Schizosaccharomyces pombe: one gene and its partners. The protein of the gene in region 3 interacts with the protein of the main gene of each other region in a pairwise test. Each region holds a gene or a part of one and is shown on either strand. Other genes may lie near its edges.

Evidence for each region.
Region 1: the proteins of atg20 (region 3) and atg2402 interact in a two-hybrid assay, tested with the Schizosaccharomyces pombe proteins (2 studies listed by BioGRID).
Region 2: the proteins of atg20 (region 3) and atg24 interact in a two-hybrid assay, tested with the Schizosaccharomyces pombe proteins (one study listed by BioGRID).

The regions. Positions count from the first base shown.
Region 1 is NC_003423.3:2,153,291-2,159,210, reverse strand, and holds atg2402 (autophagy associated protein), read right to left. Parts: upstream 4,134-5,920; 5' UTR 3,939-4,133; coding exon 2,766-3,938; 3' UTR 2,280-2,765; downstream 1-2,279. Other genes in the region: ppp16 (acylpeptide hydrolase), read right to left, coding at 1-1,586; ubiquitin ligase complex subunit Npl4, read left to right, coding at 4,876-4,878, 4,924-5,004, 5,067-5,920.
Region 2 is NC_003424.3:2,752,536-2,758,659, forward strand, and holds atg24 (autophagy associated protein Atg24), read left to right. Parts: upstream 1-1,987; 5' UTR 1,988-2,232; coding exon 2,233-2,364; exon of another isoform or gene 2,365-2,432; coding exon 2,433-2,568; exon of another isoform or gene 2,569-2,656; coding exon 2,657-3,594; 3' UTR 3,595-3,845; downstream 3,846-6,124. Other genes in the region: SPOM_SPAC6F6.11C (pyridoxine-pyridoxal-pyridoxamine kinase), read right to left, coding at 1-40, 88-196, 239-271; SPOM_SPAC6F6.13C (uncharacterized protein), read right to left, coding at 3,963-6,124. UniProt on the Schizosaccharomyces pombe protein: Sorting nexin, involved in the separation or division of vacuoles throughout the entire life cycle of the cells.
Region 3 is NC_003421.2:881,317-889,805, forward strand, and holds atg20 (sorting nexin Atg20), read left to right. Parts: upstream 1-2,055; 5' UTR 2,056-2,075; coding exon 2,076-2,219; intron 2,220-2,277; coding exon 2,278-2,386; intron 2,387-2,505; coding exon 2,506-3,857; 3' UTR 3,858-4,372; downstream 4,373-8,489. Other genes in the region: ubiquinone-binding protein Coq10, read left to right, coding at 1-344; TIM23 translocase complex subunit Tim23, read right to left, coding at 4,785-5,417; oca8 (cytochrome b5), read right to left, coding at 6,090-6,239, 6,326-6,417, 6,924-7,071; mrpl31 (mitochondrial 54S ribosomal protein mL60), read left to right, coding at 7,542-7,889; ubiquitin hydrolase Ubp1, read right to left, coding at 8,121-8,489. UniProt on the Schizosaccharomyces pombe protein: Required for cytoplasm to vacuole transport (Cvt), pexophagy and mitophagy. Also involved in endoplasmic reticulum-specific autophagic process and is essential for the survival of cells subjected to severe ER stress.

The DNA of each region.
Region 1 (5,920 bases), on a different chromosome or scaffold from region 3:
ATTTTTTCAGAATCAGCATAGGAAAGATGATTTTTTATGTACTCAACACCAAGTTCAATATCTTTATATGGCTTACCACCCCAATCAAGAGCAATGGAATCGGTAAAACGTTGTCCATAACCTGTAGATCCAGTAGGATCAAGAGCAAATACAATAAAACCAGCATTAGCAAAAACTGCAGGATTCCAGCGCGTTGACCAACTATCTGTCCAAGAACCTTGAGGTCCCCCGTGTATAAGCACTGCTACAGGATATTTTTTAGATTTATCAAAACTTTCGGGCTTTACAATCCATGCATGAATTCTGTGACCATGAGTGCCAGGAAACCAAATTTCTTCATAAGAAGTTGGCGATAATCCGACATTGTTCTCGAGTAAAACACTTTCGTTTAACGTTTCAACGTTAATCTTTGCGTAATAAGGGGGATTGATTAAAGATGACTTCGTAAGCCATAAGGAAGAAGATTTAGGGACACTAATAGAAGAAACAGAGTGTTCTTCTGTCATTGGGATAACTTGGTGGTGAAATATAGAAACAAAAAACAAAATTTGCTTCCCATAATTCTCAGCAATAGCAAAAAGACCTGGTTCGCCTCCTTTGAAAACCCCCCATTCAATGCTGGAAGGCGATCGGTCCCAATGACGAGCAATGTGCTTTTTAGCGCCTGACTCGGACTCATATACCATTATTTGATTTTGATCGCTTTCGTACTGTGGTGTTTGCATTTCAAGCCATGCAATATGATTTCCATCTTTGGCTAGTCTTGGTGAAGAGCATGCACCCTTCGCAGTGCTCAATGACTTCAGATTCCGAGTGTTCAGATTAATCTCGTAAACAACTGTCTTTGTTTGTGTTGCCGGATTTAATTTCGGGTCTTTTGCTACAAAGACAAGTTTGTCGTAGTTAGAATCAAAGTCAGAAAGACCTCCGAAGGGTTCGACAGGAGATTCCAAGCCAGTTTCCTTCAACAAATCAATAGCTTTTTCTGAGGAAATTTCAAAATAATTTGAGTTTTCCGTTTTTTTATCTAGCTCTATAAAATAAAGGGTATTCCTAGATCCTGTGTTCCATCTATCCCAGTGTCGAACAAACAAGTGATCGTATACGTGAACATTTGAAGGTCCCTTAACTAACGAATTATCCACTGAACTAAAAACGATTCTATAGTGGTTGTTCTTTTCTCCGATCCTTATATCAGATATTGAAGAGTTATGATTATATATGATACGCTCTGATCGATTGTTAACGTCAAAAAGAAGGATACTCGATGAGCTAGAATTATCTTCTCTTGCATATAAAAAAGCTGAATCAGTAATCCATGTGAGCGCTTTGTTTGATTTGCCGTGTACTAAAAGCTCTTGATGGTTTCTAGTGCTTTCATTCAAAAGGTAAATTCCAGAGTTATATTTGTGATCAGCAAAGGAATAATTCGATTCTATAAATATTCCAAGATTCCCTAAAGGATTGCTAACTACTGCTGACCTTCTAGGAGCTTCTAGCATGGATTCCGCATCAAATGCAGCCTTGTCAGCTGCAGTTAGCGTCATTACCAGGAAAAAAACTAGCTGCTTGAAAAGACTATGCATCCAAAAAAATATATTCTTTGACCAGAGTGAGGTGAATTCTAAGGAATTTGCATGAAGGGGAAAGGAAATTTATCTTGCAAAGATTACCAACCCATCTGACGAAGATATGATTATATATGATGACTTTATAAACTCCCAGCATAGTGTTAGCGTGCAGCCCTTTGTAAAGCGTTGGGCTGCGTTTGTACTGATAGGTGATGGTTTAAATTCATGTTACAATAATAACAATTTCTTTATTATTGAATATTTCTAAAACAATTTTCATCAGTATATTTAACTTGAAATACCAAGACATCTCAACAAAACATGTTATTGGGCAAATAGTCATAGTGAATATCTGCTAACTTATAATCTTTATCCTATTAATGTCAGTTATGGTAAATCTCTGATAATATTTGTTTAAATAGACATCATTTTATAGTCTTATAAAAATTTTACAGATCTTCAACTTCTACCGAATAATGAGAATTGAAGAACTTTAATGAACCCATCAGTTATTTCTAAAAAGTATTGTAGTGTGTGAAGTCCTCATCAAAAATGCAAAATTCAAACCACTCAATTGAAATTACTTGTATTATTATATAGATCAATCATGTTTGAGAAGCATAGTTTGAGATATAAATCACTGTCATCCTTCGGACGGAGATGACTATAATCTTATAAAATTAAAGCAGAACAGGGAAATGCATATACTTAAAAAAAGGCACAGAAGATTTTATTGTTAGTACAAAACCTATACTGTTGATAATCCCTCTTTACTGAGCTATATTTTTTTAAAGCTCAGAACAAAATAAAATCTATGCACAACAGAAAGAAGTAAGTACGAAGGAGACATCATCCATTCCTTTAGCAAAGAAAGAAACAATTCCACGTTGGGAAGTTTAAAGTTGTCTAAGAATTATAGAAATGTCATTACATTTTTGCATTCCTTGTACTTTAATTTGAGAACATGAGCAAATTTAACGAAAATTAATAAGTCATGTTTTCGACTGCATAAAAAAGTAATAAATTAATCTCAGATTCGTAAATTTTCATTAATATTAGTTCAAGTCGCATAAAAAATATCGTAAACATCACACATTGTAAAACAAACGTTAAAGCATCATACGCCAAGTTATAAAACACTTACTTAAAAACTCAAAAGCCTCTATACAGTAGTAGGTTAATAACGAGGAACTATTATTCCTTCACGGCATGCTGCTCAAGAATACCAGAAAAATATTCCACATGACAATCGCAAACCATTTGTAATGTCTTACGCATTTCAACATCGATACGTTCGCGTAGAAAATTTAACTCTTGCTCAAGTTTTTCGTTGAAAATGCATAATTCTTGAAACGATAATTGAAGCAACTCCATGGGATTAGCATCGTCTTGACCTAATGAGTACCGCTTTTTTTTAAAAAATTTTGGAATACTGAATAAACTCGAGGTACGTATAGTAGTGTTGGGCGACGGTTTAAGCTCAGGTGTCTGCTGCACAACGGGAGTGGCTTCTACAAAGTTTGGGTCAGATCGTGATGATTGATCAGGGTTATTAGAGTTAGATTGAACGATTTGTTGGAAATGTTCAAATTGCTTCACCTTTTGTTCACGAGATTTGATCAAACTCTTAAAAACCACCATGTAATCTTCCAAATCTTGAATAGATGTAATTACCTTAGAATGAAAAGAGTTTATTAAAAAAATGCTGTTTCTCTTTAGTCTTTTAAATTCTACAGAGACAACATCGAGGTTACTGATGCTTAAATTAGAAGGGACAGGAATATCAGTAGGAAAATTTTGAACACTATTCATGTATTGAACACAGGTTTTCTCCAACTTTGAGAGATCCGTATCCGCATTTTGGAGAAGCTGTTTTGCTGTTTCATACAAGCTTTGAGCATACGGGTCTAAGTTTTGAATTGATGATTCAATTCCTCCGGATACGTTATTGCCCTTGGACTTAGTGTTTTCGGATTGCATCCACGCGTTATGATAATAAGATTTCCAAGAGTTATTTTCCAAAAATTGATACATATGCATAGAATTGGAAATTACAGGGTGTGTGGAGCATCGATCCAGAAACGTTTGGAGGGATTGCATTCGACGAGCAATGAATATGGGAGATAATGAACCACCAGAGAAAGAACTAACAGTATATTTTCTCGGTAGCGGAGGGATTGCATAACCATTATAATCATGGCTCAAAATATTATGAAGCATCTCAAAATCCTTATATCTCCGACGAACAGAGAACTTTTTATCTTCAAAAACTGGCAGATCCGATTCAGTCTCAATTTCATAAGAGACGAATGTATCTCCGCTTCTTAAAGTTTCGATTTGCTCATTTTTAATTGTACATTTCAGCATTGCTTACATGTCATGAAAGAGATTGGTAATCTTGCGACCCAATATTTTTAAAGTACAAGATAATACAGCTGATTCGAAGTTCTTTACAAAGCAATTAAGATTTTTTTTAAACAAATAACAATGAATGTAACTACAAAATTCTTCAGATATTTTTGCAATTGCTATTTCCACAGAATTTTGTAGTTGGTGCTGACTACGTAAAGATCCATTGGAGCACAAGCTATGTCAAGCGTTCAATTAGCAAAGATATTAGAGAAGAATCACGCAAAACGGTAGCAATATTGATAAACTTGTTAAGGAAAAGGAATTTAATAAACAATTATCAATTGAGAGAATTGAAATCTACAACTTTTCATATCGTAATGCTTACAATCGTGAGCCATGATAAACAAACAGAAATGCATAAAATTATTGAGCTTCAAGCTTTAACATAGTTACATTTTTCCTGTAAAAAAAATAAATGCAGCTTTGATTCGAATTAAATTAGCTTAAAATAAATTTCTTTGAAAATATGCAATAGATATGCTTTCTATTGGATGCATATTTTCAAGCTGTGCGCAATTCCGAAAATTAATACCATCTACTCAGCAAGTGGAATTGACCAAATGTAAATTCTAGCAGATTCAATTATCTAAATTATTAGTCGGATTTAAATCATACCAACACTAGATATTTAAAAACTATATTTCAACTTTAAACCGACATATTGTGTATTTTTCGTTATACCTGTGATAGTTCTTTGAAAATTTTGTTACGTTATTTGAGAATTACGACCTAAAGTAATACATATATAGATATACACTACGGCGTCTGTTCAATCGTTATTGTTATTAACGAATTTTTCAAAAATGTAACGAAGCTGCACTTCACCTATTTTAATAGCTTACATAGTCGTAAGCTTAGTTTGCTCATCCTTCACCTTTACTCTTGCTTCGAAATGGTATGCAAAGCAATCGTTTTAAATATTGTTACTAACAGTTTAAAGATTTTGCGCTTTCGCAGCAAACGGGGGATGGCCCGTGCAGAATTTCAGCCAACTGATACTTTGGCTATGCTGTCTGCAAAGGTACGTAATTTCCTGCAAAATTATTGAAATATTTCAAAACGAATGGTTATCTAACAAATCAGATTTTGTCTGATATACTTAAAAACGACTACTCTCCCGAAAATGTTTCTCTTTGCCAGAATGAATCTGACCAGGGTGTCATTTTTTCCAACCTGAATGATCAAACTCTTCAAGATGCTGGATTGACTCACGGTCAAATGCTTTACTTAAGACTTGGTACACCAAATAGTGATATTGCTTCATCAAACAATGAACCTGCTCTCACTGTAACTGGTGCCCCAAAGCAGGTTTCCACACCTGATGTTTCAGAAAAAAAACCTTCTATGCCTGTCATTCAAGATCCCATTGATGATTCTTTAGAAAAAGAAGATGGCTTGATACGTCGTTCCATGACCTCTTTATGTCGGCACGGCCCTAAAGGAATGTGCGACTATTGCTCGCCTTTAGAACCGTATGATGAATCCTATCGACAAGAAAATAAAATCAAGCACCTTTCCTTTCATGCTTATTTGAGAAAAATAAACTCTAATGTGAATAAATATGCTAGCTCTCAATCGTTTATTCCTCCTCTTGAGGAGCCTAGTTTTACAGTGAAAGAAAAGTGTCCTTCTGGTCATCCTCCTTGGCCCGCTGGGATTTGTACCAAATGCCAACCATCAACTGTAATGCTCAATCTCCAACCATTTCGTGTTATTGATCATATTGAATTTGCTTCTCCCGGCATTGTCGATTCGTTTCTCAATAAATGGCGTCAATCCGGTTTTCAAAGGATTGGTTATACGTATGGACATTTCGAACAATACAATAACGTTCCTTTAGGAATTAAGGGAGTGATTGAAGCTATATACGAACCCCCTCAGGTTTCGGAGGCTGACGGCGTTACATTAGAGGAATGGGCCGATGAAGCCCTTGTAGA
Region 2 (6,124 bases), on a different chromosome or scaffold from region 3:
TGTTCTGCGCTTAAGGTCCTTCCTTTAACAATGGGATACCCTTGAAATACGTTAATAAAATATAAAATAAGAAATTAAATAATTTACCTGCATGATTTGAAAGCTCTACAGTTGGAATTGCATCTACGTCCCAACCTAAAAGCTGAAGTGGAAATGTAGCAGCACGATTTCCTACATATCCATGACAAACAGAAGACTATAATGTTGTTAGTTTCAAAGAAAATTATATTTTTTCAACCTGAATCGCTAAAATACGCTTTGTTGTATTCATCCTATATGGTATTGGGTTATCCTCAAGGCGTAGAACTGGATAAGCATGCTTTTGTATAATAGATGATAGCGATATATGATATTGAGCGTTGTCGAAAAACGAATAGTTACCTGAGTTTTAAACAAATATAAACAGACTTATTCTTTTAAGAAGAGATAAATTGACTACTGTTATTTTCTGAATGCTGCCTAAAACATATATTGGAATAACTTACTAAATACTCTTCAAATTAAGGAAAAGCATAAGCTACAATTTCTACCCCTACAAGTAACGATTTTCCTTTTTTTTTACTTCCTCAAAACGGTCTTCTCGAACAGTATGTTCTCAAAAGTTTTCCGACTTTTTATCTCATAAAAAAGAAATTCAATGTTTCTCATGCATGACCTTTAAATTTCTCTTTGAAAAATCATGTGAAGCTTACTTAAAGAGATGTTTCAAATTTCTCTTTATGAAACGAGTATTTATCGGATTTATTGGATATCCACTTATGAAACACTACAGCAGAGCAAAACTTTCAAATAATTGTTTTATTATTTTAAAAGCTATTCCAGAAAAATTTGTTTAATTTAAGGCGTAAATTTCGCGCTAATTTTCCTAGAAATGACTGAAAGGTCGATTTTGTTTACGTCTTTTTGCATCATCCTTTCAAAGCTAAGAAGTTATCGCAAACTATTTCTCCATTATATTGGATTTATTTTATTTTGGAACATACAAACATGAAATTGAATGTGAAGAAATATGTATGTAGCTTCGTCTTTTAAGGGAATTTAATAAAAAGGATAATCAACTTAATTTTTTGCGACAAAACTAATTATGAAGCACATTCTTTTGAATCAATTTATCCAAAAAAGTAATAAATTCAACAGTGACAAGATGTAAGCATTATACGGAATACAACGACTCGAAATACATGGAATTGTATAACTTAATCACTCATTTAAACTTTTACAGAAATCTTCGGCTGAAATATACGGGGTAAAATAGGGCTTTTAATTGTAAAGCTTAGAGCCTGAATAAGTATGCTTTCCTTTATTTTAACATTCCTCAATTTGTTTTCAAGTACTTCACATACCTAGGAAGAATGCTAAATAAGGTACAGTGGGAAAACAACGTTGGTTGATTGTTAGTTTGACTTGCTAAGCTCGTAACTTTGAGGATATGGGCTACAATTTACGTAGAAAGGTAATTTATTAAGCCTAAGGATGGTTGCTTGCTCATTAAAATTGTCCCAATCCTACATATACGCTTTAAACTATATGAACCTCATCTTTTGTCGAAAAAGAAAGTACAAATCCTTCCTCATAAGAAATGTTCGGCAATCTCTTCTTTTTCAACTTTCAGCCTAAAATCGATATGACTACAGAATTTGAAATAGGGAATTGCATTTCTTACTAGTACTATTTAAATGTGTAAAGCTTTCTGGATTACCATCAGACCCTCATTTAAAAATGATATTTATATTATATGCTGATTCTTTAGGAAACAGCAAATGGACGACTTTCTGAATGTGATTTTTTTAACCATCATGTAAATCTAAAGTAGACTGTTGCTAATAACAGTTTCGTACGAAGAACAGAACTTTTTTAAAAATCTAATCTAAATTTGTCATAAATCTTTCGGAAAACCTTTTGAAGCATAAAAATCCCAGTTGAGTTAATGTAGTAACAATCATGTGTATGTACTCATACCTAACCATCACATTCCAGTAATCCACCTAACATCTTAACAACTCTCCAGCACACATACACACACATCATTATTTCAAGTCATTTCACACTTAAATTCACTTACAAACATCTAGAATAATTTTTGATTGAATCGTATTTTATTCATCTGAAAACCGACTGAGATTTAGTATTGTTTCCTTCGTATTGCATTTTTTACATTCGTCTTCTTTGGAAGTGGCGTACTAAGCCTTTTATTTGATTCCATCATACTTGTGAAGTATCCTTAAGCATCCCATGTCTGATTCTGTGAATTTGGACGAACCTTCAACTAATAGTACTCACTTTCTACAATGTTTAGTTACAGAACCTAGAAAGGAGCTACAGGGATCTCGAGACACTCATGTATCTTATCTAATCATCACTAAGGTAAGTCTTATTTTTGAAAAGTAACTGATGAATTATTTTTTGGAAATGTGCTTACTCTATGTTACTAGACCAATCTTTCGATTTTCACACGTGCGGAATGCAAGGTTCGTCGTCGTTTTTCTGATTTTGTGAAGCTTCAAGAAATATTATCACGAATGAATGAGGATTGTGTAGTCCCTCCTCTTCCCGCTAAACATAAACTTGGTATGCGTGCAATTAAATAGAAACTCGTTAGTGCAGTGATTCCGATGTCTTTGACTTTTCAATGATTCGTCACTAACACTTTTTGTAGAATACATCAAAGGAGGTCGGTTTTCAGATAATTTCATAAATCGAAGAGCCAAGCTGTTGAATCGTTATATTACACGTTGTGCTCTTCATCCTGTGCTGCACCAATCGCCTCATTTCATTGCATTTTTAGAAAATCCAAATTGGAATAATTATGTTCGATTCTTTATTCAGCCGAAATTGAATAACACATCGAAGTTGGACGAAATCTCGGATTCCTTGCTAAATGCGTTTTCCAAGCTGAAGGAAGAACCCACTGAGTTTGATATCCAACGCGACCATGTGCAACAGTTTATGTTTGGAATATCTAATTTGGAAGGATCCATTCAAAAGCTTTTACGTTTAGAGAAGGCTCTAGAATCTGATTATGAGGATGTTTCGATTCAGTTTGATCGATTGGCATCCTTGGATCAAGCTTTAGATGTGCCTATTGAATCCATTCAGAATGCATTGCAACAAACTGGCACAGAGTATGCTAATCTTACAGAAAAATTAACTTTATTGTTGGATACAATTAAAGACGTTGAATCTTACGCTCATTCCTTGAAAGAACTCTTGAAGCGCCGCGATCAAAAACAGCAGGATGTCGAGGCACTTCAAGAGTATTCTGCAAAGCTTTCTTTAGAGCGCGACAAAATATCTTCTGGCGGCTCTAATGGTTTCAGTTTATCCAAAACTCTGGACGACTTGCGTGGTATCGATCACAACGATACTAGATTAAAGCGCTTAGAACATGTACAATCGGAATTGCAGGCAGTTGAGCAAGCTATTCAAGAAGCATCTGCCGTTCATGACGCTTTCAACCAAAGGGTTCGAGAAGAATCTAAGCTTTTTGATTCCGTTCGTCAAAGCGAGATGCTTAGTGCTATTTCCGATTACGCTAATGTTCATGTAGAGTTTTTTACAAATATTCGCGACCTTTGGATACGTGTTAAGCAATAGGTTACTTTACTCAAGCCCCACAGCATATGTTGTTTTGATCATGTCTCGATTAATGAATCATTGACCTGCTTTTCTTTTTTAATTTCTAAATATTTATTAATGATAATGATTGTGCATGACTTCGCTGATTACTTTTTTTATCATCAACAATTTCATAATCGGGAAACTTTTTTTGTCTGTATTTGTTTGTAAGTTTATTATGATTATTATTAGAAAAGAAATAAAATAAAAAATGAATTGAATAAATTAGAGAAAAAACAAACAGTGGGGTATAAGAATCGTAAAAATGAAAAAACCGGTATTGCAAATAGTAAAAAATTAGAAACATATTAATGGTAATTCTTGCACGATAATAGCACTCAAACATCTTAATACCATCTACTATTGAATGAGGATCCGTACTTTTTCTTAACCTTCTTAAGTTCCTCCCTTATTTTCTTGCTATCAAAAAAAGCATTTGATTTTTTAGGAGACAAACTGCGGCCTTTTTGCATTAATGACTTTTCAATCAACTCCTTTTGCTTATTTTGACATTCTTCTGCTTCTATTTCATACAACAATTGAGATTGTCGTTCTCTCAAGGGTTCGGGAATAGGTTCTGAAACCAAATCCACTTCTTCATCGAGAACTTCAAATCCAACAGCAGCTAATAAAATTGGCATTGATTCTCTATAAGCCAAATGTCCCGAGACAAGATTAGTAACATCGATGTTTTCTATCCCCGGAATACAATCTATTTGACGCAAACCCGCAACTCGCCCAATGCCACCAGAAGTGGCTCGAAAAAGATAGCCAAGGATCCAATCATTCTTTTTGTAACCATTGACAAACCTTCCAGAAACGACAGATGCAGCTTTAAGCCAAGAAGTACGTTTAAAAATAACAGGGGTGCCGAACAAATATACATTTTCAATGATGCTAAACTCTTTTTTTTTCTCTAATTCTCGCAAACAATAGTAAATAACACGAGCCCCCAAAGAATAACCAACTAAGGTGACTGGGCGGACGCCAAGGGACCGATAACATAGCATATCGGCTAAAAGCTGACCGGTAGCCTTAGCACGGTCTAAAGAATTATTCCACGGATTGTCAATTAGATATCCTAGCTTCGTTAATATCAAGGGCCACTGTAAGGCACCCATTAGAGAAACTAAGACGGTGGATCCCAATACCTGTTGAAGAGACTGTGTAACCACTTCTGTTGCCAAAATGTTCATAGTCTGACCAGCAGAAGCAAGCATTTCGGGCTCCCAAAAAACAGAATAAATATCACCCACGATAGGATCAAGTGTAGCAAAAGAAAGACGGACATCATCTTCTTTACTTAACATCCAACCGGAAACGGTGACGATGACATTGGCTCGTCTCTGTGCATGTAGCGGTCTAAATTCAAAAGTTTTAACATCGGCTTTTCGATGAGCCATGCCAGTTGTACCAATATGAGCTCCTGAAATTGCACCGCCAGCAGTAATTAAAGCAGCACTACCACCCCCGGCTAAAAAACCAGACGTAGCAACTCCAGATAAGCCAACAGTGGTGAAAGCAGCTCCAATGCCTGCACTAATAATAGGAGCCAGTAATCCAGAAGAGAGACCGATCACTAGGCCGCCTCCGATACCTGCTAGGCCCATTAGTATATACTTTTTACGCCTTGATACTTTACGCCGCAATTTCATGACCGCTTCAGTGTTTGCACTTGAGCCGGCTTCTAATTCGCCGGTATCGTCAATCTGAATTGTTTCAACAATATGTTTTTCAAACTTTGCAACATCAAACTCATTAATGTCAAGAACCTCGCCAACAGCCATAAGTAGAGAACGTGACCGACAATCGTAAAGCGATTTAGAAATGAGGACCAGAAAAAGATCACACAACACAGTCCAACGAACATCAATTTGTACCGGTTTCTCTTTCCCTAGGCTACTTAGACTATCGCTGGACTCAACTTCGTCAACAAGCACTGCATCAAGGCTACTGACTGTTTGAGCTCTATGGGCAGAAACTAAAATCTTGGACAAGTCATCTATTTGGACTGAATGTTTGTGAAGATTTTCTATCATCTTCTGTTCCTCTACTGTGACGCCGAGATGTTCATATATGCATGAAGTGGTTTTGTCAGCCCACATAATGGTGTCTTCTAATGCGGCCTTACATTCACCTCGATACCATGGCAAAGTTGTAAAACATGCAATTTTATCAACCATTTTTAAAATTAAAAGCCGACATACGCCAGCGTATGCCATTTTCTCGGTTTCAGAGAGTATGTTGCCAGTGATTTCCAATTGACTATCCATGCTAATTTCTTCGTTGCCATGATCAGCAATGTCTAATAATTTAATGGCTTCACTGTCTAACTGATGCTTTTGATCGTCGTCTTCATCACGAAAAACTCGGGTGTAGCGAGGTTCAAGCTCACTCTCTTCAACTTTTTCAGTTTCTTTCTTTTCTTCTATTATTTCATTATCATCATCGATATCATTGATTAAATGGGTTGGTTCCAACGATATAACTTCCATTGGTTGCCAATTGC
Region 3 (8,489 bases):
ACGATCCTAAAACTGGATATCCTACAAAGGCCGACCTTACAGTTGGTTTTAAAGGATTGTGTGAAACTTTTGATAGTAAGGTGGTTTGTGATCCTGTTGCCCTAACCGTGTTGGCAGACGCGTCCCATCATCGTCTGTTCCGGCGGCTTAAAACACATTGGAGTATTGAAGAGGCATCTCGGGGACGTGTTCGTGTTGATTTAGAGGTGGATTTTGAATTTGCAAGCAAACTCCATGGCATGATGAGCAAGTTTGTTGGATCTTCTGTAGCTTCTGAAATCATTCAAGGATTCGTCCAACAGGCTAAAATAAAGCATAAGCTAGAATCAGAAAATGAGAAATAATTACAATGATCCTGCATACAAAGGGGCTATGCCGCTATTCTTTCCATCTCAGCGTTTTTCCATCGTCTCTCTTTCAACCAAAGAAGGATATATTTTTATAAAAGGTTTCTTTTAGGAAATCATGGCTTCAGTAAGCTAAATTTTGGATCCTTCTCTTCACCTTATGTATTTATTTTATTTCATTTTTTTGGATACTCGCCAATATCATGGTATAGTTTGCTTTACTGCAATTTTTTTGATGCACAACAAAAAACTTGGTAAATTATTTCTCTACTATTAAATCAAGAGCTTAGGAGGAATTCTCATTTCTTAAAGAAACTTTACTTTGACGAAACTGTATTTTTTTTTTTGTTTTAACAATATGTCTTGAATATGCCTTCCTTTTCTTGAGTCACTGATAACCAAATATATATAATTATAGGGGTGTCTCTCTTTCTATTTAGTGCTGAAATATTGCGGATGAGCTTTGCCTCTAAAGTTGATAACCAGAGATCAGGAGTCCTTGAAGGTCAACTGTTTACAAAATTATCCTTCCTTGCTTTTGAATAGAAGGTGAAATTGGTTATGGAATGCTTCATGAAGATTTGCATTCAAAATGCATCCAGAACAATCACAAGTGTTATTTAAAAGTAAAGAATCCCTGAAGGAAAGAAAAAGTGATCTATGATGATCGTTGTTAAAAAGTCTATCAAATTTGGTCTACTGAGATATATCTAGGGAAAGCAAAATCATTTAAGTAAGACAATTCATGAAATACCCGGAGCACCTTTATAGTCGACTTTTCTTTCGATGATAAACATGACATGATTTCCATTATAGCTACAGAAACGAATTTTATGAAAAACAATCTTGTGTTTACCAACATTTTAATATCGTGCTCTATTAAACTGTGCAATATGCAAATACGGTGTTTGCCGATTTGCATTAACGGGAAGTATTTCTCCAGTAAATAAATGAAGCAAAGTGTTTTTATGTAAAATCCTTTTATCGCTTTTAACTTATAAGGATTTACTTAGTATATAAAGTTGCTGAATGGAGCCTTAAAAGTTCTAGCTGTTTTTTCGTGAAATAAACTATAGCATCACCATTCCATAGGTCCATTAGAAGTTGTGGAAATTATCCATGAGCATTTTTATATAGTGAAATTAGAATAATTTTTATCATTGAAAATAAATTATTAATTTAGTTCATTTCGAGGATGAAAACAAGTTTTATTATAATATACCTCTTATTTATACCGCATTGTTTACATCGCACGATATAACCAAACGAATCCAGTTAACGATAGCTACAACAGCCATCGGTATTAAACTATAGTGATTTGATAAGATGTTTCGAAATATATACTGGATAATATAATCACTGTCCGCTATCATAACCTTAAAAAGAAATCTCCTCTACAACTGCATTACTTGTTTACTGTGATAGTACTAAGAAATTCTCCACGTAAACCAAAATCTATTTTTTTTTCGAAATCTCGTATTTTATATACATAGGTTTCCCCTGTCATTTTAAAGTTCTGATTGTTTCTTTGACCTTATGGAAACCCATTTTACAATGCATTCAGTATAACGCTATCTAATCCATTCTCATATACAGTATAACGTAGTTATAAGTATATTGATTTGCGATCTCTATCATATTACAACGAAATACAATCCAGTCTGCAAAGCCATGACTTATATGACGAACTAGCTACATTTCTTTCTCCATTAAATCGATTAAAGAAGTATGGCACAAGACGATTCTTACGAAGAGAAACCTGAAGTTATATCCAGCGACTCGGGAGGAAGTGGTTATTCAACTGAAATCCAGATCGTCGGTACAGTAACTTCCTCGGACGGTTCGTATGTTGAGTATGAAATTGTACACCAGGTATGTGGCTTGAGATCCTTGGTATCTATGAGTTTAGCTGCTAATTTTTATACTGTAGAAGCGTTCCGTTTGGCGGAGATATTCGGATTTTGAGTCCTTGGTTAAGTTGATGCGTCGGCAGTATCCCGCTGCAATTGTTCCTCCTATACCGGGAAAACAATCACTTTGTAAGTTTTCCAATATATTTAGATATAATATCTTTCATCGCGTTTTTTCATTTTCTTTTCAAACGTTTATTAACATGGGCTGTGTGCAATTCATTGTACACACATGCTCCGCTGTTTAGTAAGTTATGCCAAACATCCACGAAAAGCTAAAAGTGATGCTGAATTCTTAAATTTTCGCTCCAGGATGCTAGAATTGTTTCTTCGTCAGTGTCTTTTGCATCCATGCATTCGTTCCAATCCTATTTTCGATAAGTTTATTCATAGCACTGTTTCTTGGCACGTGACTTTATCATCTTTAGATTTACCAAAGGATTCAAATACTGATCCACTCCGCCTTCCTCCTATTGCTACTGAGCATGACCCATTCGCTCATTTGCGCTCTTCCATGCCACTTGTAATGGCCAACTCATTAAGTCCCCCTTCGTCTCGCGCATTAAAGCCAATCCATTCCTTATCTAATCCTTCAACTGCTTCGAGTTTAGAACCTTCTTCTCCTTTGGGCTCTGAGGATGAATGTCATCCCCCAACAAGCGATATGCAACCTACGCATGAATTGAATGAAAGTCCTTCTACCCCAACGGCACCAGACTTTCCACATTACAATAGCTCACCTTCGGAGTTATCTCCCACACAGCGTCGTTCCAGCATTTCTAATGGTAAAGACGCACCCTCTCCAGTACTCAAAGATTTGACTTCCTATACTCAAGAAGTGATTGTTTGTCGGAAATTCCTTCATCATAGTCTGAGTCCTTCCATACATTCAACTTTATCTAGTATTTCTAAAATGGAGTCTTGCCTTTCAAAGTTAGGATCGGCATTTCACTCTTTGACTGCTCTCAATGAAATACAATTAGCAAATCATTTGCAAGTGATTGCTAATGCCTTTGAATTCAGCGGAATGTACGCCAAGGAATTCGAACAAGAATTTAATTCCTCCGTCTATGAAAAAATGGTTCAGTCTATGCAGCTGGCGAAGTGTGCCGCAGATGCTCTTAAGTATAAGCAATTGAAGATACAACAGCGAGATTTTCTTCAAGACCAGCTCATCCACTCTAACACAATGTCTGCTACCGACTCTATGGTAGCTGCTTCACCCACGATACACCCGGCGACCAGATTGAATACTATTCAACGAGCAGTTGTCTCCCAAGCCAAAAAGGGTTACACAATTTTTGGTCGCTTACAAAACGTTTTACATGACTTTGTAGAAGGTGAAACCTCCATTAGCAAAGAAAGTCTCCAGCAGCATAAGAATACCATAGAGAATCAACTAGCGGCTGCAAATTGGGATTGTCAAAAAATTGACGAATTCATGGATGCAGAGCTTAAATTCTACAAAGAATGTCAGACGTCGCAGTGGGAAGAAATAATTAAATCTGTTCATGAATGTATCTACAAATGGGCACAAACAAATTTACAACGATGGTTGCGAACTCGTGAAGAACTCGAAAATTTATCGAAGGACATATAAGTACGTTGGGTAGGTTTGCTTATAATTGCATTCCGAGTCTTACATACTTTGTATTTTATTTTAATTTCTGCATACATCCTTTTTTATGTTTCTTTTTTACGATTTTGTTAATGACTAATAATACCACATGACAAGCCTTAACTATGAAAGTCATATTTCCCTTGGAAGATCTATCGCTTGGATAAATTTTTAAGGTCGAGTACATTTTATTAATGAAAAATTTATTTAATGCTATTATAGATTTAGAAATATTAATAATACTAAAGCATACAATGAAAGCTGTTCTTCTTTGTGAATATTCATTGTTCCTCCTCTTACCTTTTTATCAATATGTACCGACAAATCGTTTAAATCCTTTCATTTTTCTCTCTACCCTTTTTCTCTTTTTTTGTTAGTTAAAGTGTGCTCGAATAGAGCCATTTTACGAATTACTTGAATAAACAATTACTTAACAAGAACTTTAACCTTCTTTCCATATTGATCACGTACAAAAATACAATGTAATAAAAAGCTGTGGGATAAAAATGATACAAAAAAGTGATATTTATGTCAAAATATGAATGTACTGTTCAAATAAAAGGATTCCAACAAAACAAAATGTAAGAACCCGTATGTTTGTTCAGTAGTTTTATTCCTTCCCTTTGCGAAAAGGAGGTAGGATCAAGGATTCAGAGATATTACAAATGCGAGGAAAAAGAAACGCAGTCAATTCTTTTTGACAGAAGGGTGTTGATAGAATTGAATTTTTAGGAAAATCAAACGACATAAATGAGATGAATAAAACCAAAAGACATAAATCCATTGTCGGATTTACAAATTAGGGAAAAAAGGGTCCGCACAAGAGTGAGAGAAAATGAGTGTCATAAAAGGAACACCTAACTCACATTATCGTACAAATTTTATAACCAAAAGTTACAAAAGAATTTTTTAATTAAGTCGCTTAGTGAAAGAACGCTTTGCAAGGGTCCAAATGCCAGCTGCAGTGGCTACAAGCGAACTACTAATAGCCATAGCACGAAGTCCACGAGTAGATTTGTAAAGAGCACCTGTCAATGCACCAGCTGCAACACTATTTTCCCATCCATGCTTTTGGCGCTTGTAGCCTATTAAAGAATTGATTCCATTATACACGAGGGCAAGCACACCCAAGGAATTACCAACGAAAGGACCACGTCGTGTAACACCGTTCAAAATACCATTAAGGCGCAACCGTGTGGAAGTAATATCTTTAGTTTTCTTCATGCCTTCATTGAGACCCCAGAGTCCACCAATCGCCAATCCACTTAAATAAGAAGTTCCAGTACCGTAACAAAGATCATCTTGCCATCCGCGAGATGGGATAGCCATGCTATCGCCTGGAAGAGTAGAAAGAGCATCTTCCTCAATCAATAAGTAATCCAGAGGTTTATCTAAATCAGCGAGGGGATGTAACTTGGCGGGATCGAATTCAGAACCCGATAAAATATCTGAGGCTGTAGCCTCGGTAGGGACCTGCAATTCAGAAGAATCAATCTTTGAGGTTGGTTCCTCTTCTTTATTTCTTGTAAACAACCAAGACATATCTTAAAAAGTTGATTTTTCGCAAAGGCGCGATGGTGGTTGTCTGCAGGTAGCGGTGGTTACAGGAACTGTGTATTAGCACCTAAATTAAAATAGTAGAAAAAAATTGTTGAGACGTAAAAAGTGTCGCAATTATCATGAATTTACATTTATATATAAAAAAAAAGACTTAATGAATAAATCCTCGATCGTTAAATAACGCCCGAACTTATTTACTCGATCACCGCTTAAAATTCTAGACAAGTTGGGCATAGGTCCATCGATAAAACAATAGAATAGAAGAAACTATAAAACTTTTTTTTATGAGAGAACAAACAACGAAAATACAAAAAATATAACACTAAGTATTATCAATTATACAGTTACGCAAAGCAAGCATAAGACCGTTGTGAATTAAATTTACGTCCAGACAAATCAAAGGTCTCTATTAATATTAATATGCCATTCACATTAAGAGCCAAACCAAAGCGTGTTAAAGGAATACATTGAATCCGTAAATATCCTAAGTACGAACAGGTAAAGAAAGCTAAAGTAGATATCTAACAACAACAAAAAACGAAACTTGCTAGCTCAAAATCACAAAACCATATTCAGCACATTTAAACGACCCAAAACGAAAGAAGGCCTTTAAATTTCTTTGAGCGCAAAAGTAAGACTGGGAATTTAAGCAGTCTATTTGAGGACATACTTGCGAAAAGCAAAGTAAGCAACAACCATCACAAGGACAAAGAGCCACATAGCAGGCTTAACTGGTTGAGAAGAATCATATCCACTTCCACCAGCGGCAGCACCAGTTGTGGGAAGCTGAGGGCCATCTTCAGTCTAAAATATGTTAGAGTGTCGAAGCAAATTTTTACAAAAATTTTAACGAGCCTATGGCGAACGAAGAGAAAAAATAAATGACATACTCTGAGCAAGTTTCCAATGTAAAATTTTTCGAGCAACTCCTGAGCATCCTCAGAGTGACCAACATCCTCGAAAGGACCGCTAGCATCACGACCTAAAACAAGTTAATAATCACAGAAACGAACAAAAAAAAGCCCCTAGCGATGGTAGAGAAAGGCAGAAACTTTGTATAGCCAATCCAAAAGCCGTATGTGAAGAATCGAAGCGATATCGTCAATCAATCTTTCCAAAATTATGTATTTCAGTGTATTCAGAGTACTGGAAATACAAAACATCGAGTAGAGAGCGATCAATCTTGGAACATATAGACTGTACTTAACAATTCACCTTCAATGACAATGTCGCATTAAACATCGTATTTATTCAGGATATCGCATCTATTTTTGTACGTTCCTACGGCAAAGATTCGTCCTGAATCTTTCAAATTAAAGAACATGTGTATATGCGACACCTAAACTCTCGTGAAATTCAAAGTTTTGTAACGCTAGTTGTCTGAAACTTCGATTTCTACGACTCCACACAATCGCGACCAATTTTTATGCATTACAACCAATCTTCCTCAAGACCTCCATTATCGCGTACCCCTAAAAATTTACTTACCGGCCAAATCAACAAGAACCTCTTCACCACCAGGGTGAGCGTCAAGGAACTTGGAAATATCATACACCTTGTCTTTTACAACAATGTACAAATCATCACGAGTGTTATGTTTTAACACTTCTTCAACAGTAATTGTCTTCTCTGCCATGATCAAGTTCTGCTTATTCTTCCTTAAAGGTGGTATTTAACGGTTATAACCCAGGAGCTAATTACTCTCGAGATGTTGGTTGCAAATGCCCTATCGCGATTTATCTAGCAGGTGGGAAGTAGAAATGAGCCGATTCTTACTGGCAGGTGGTCACGTGGATTCGAGTTGGAAGGTACACCCAAGGATATGAACTTACCCAAAACCTATATCATTCTTCAGTTAACCAACTCCACCATTTTGGAGGTGTAGTGTTTATATTTGAATGGCAATATAATATTTAAATCAATTTAGGACGCTAATCAAGTTAATTTTTGTTCACATCTTTGCTGTTTCGTTGGAGCCGTAAACTACTTTGTGACAAACCATCAACTACTCAGAATTTGTCTATCACCCAAAAACTTAACAAAAAATTTTTATTTGCTCTTTTTGATCCAACCTTCTTCCTCTCCTTTTGATTTTATACGAAAAATATGCTGGGTGCATTTAACTCGACTTTGGCTCGCTTTGGCGGTCTTGTTCATAAAGTACCTTGGAGATTATCCCAGCGAAGAAAATATCGTCACCGTCAACGACTTCGTGCCGTCGATGAGGTGGTAGATGTTTTGCGCACGGCGTTGCAAGAGAAAAATCAATCGTGCAAACGAATTGAAAGTTTCGTTGCTAACCATCAGCCTGAATCCCAAATGTCACCAAAGGATAAATACACTATGTTTACCAGGAAGACTCAAGGTGCCGGTCTCCAAGGCTTCCGCAAGGGTGTCCATAAATCACCAAAATGGACCCGTAGTACTAATCGTGTTAATCCCACTGGCTTTTAAAAACGTCTGGTTGCAAAAGTTTACTACTTTTTTTTTCATAATTTTAATGCTCTATGAATAATAAATGTAATGGATTATTTTAATAGCTTATTTTATTACTTTTTTATTGCAAAAACTCCCACCTCTTCCTCGTCTTCGTTCATATTCAATTTCCAGTTTCATACATATTCAAACAAACGACATTAGCCTTTAGTTAGAGTAAAGTTCATATCACCTCTATTATACGTCTCTTTAATTCTTTGCTCTGTAAAACAATACATAAGCAGACGATGTGACAATATCCTCCGGATCTATTTCACAAATAGCTGTATCATCAAACTTAAAGAATGTTTGGCTCGATGCATCTCTTGCATAGGCAGTATAATGACCATTACTCATAAACCCGTGATGATTGTCCACTGCATACAAATCGTAAAGCATCGATTTCTGTGACGATAGCCACTCATGATCTTTTATAAATGGACTCAAAAATTGCTTCAAATTGAGATCAAATACTGGATAAACTACTAAATCCCTTCGTTTACGTCTTCTCCGCAAATCTCCACCGTGGCCGCTGAATCGATTTAAATGAATGACTAGTATTTTTGGCAATCGCCAGAT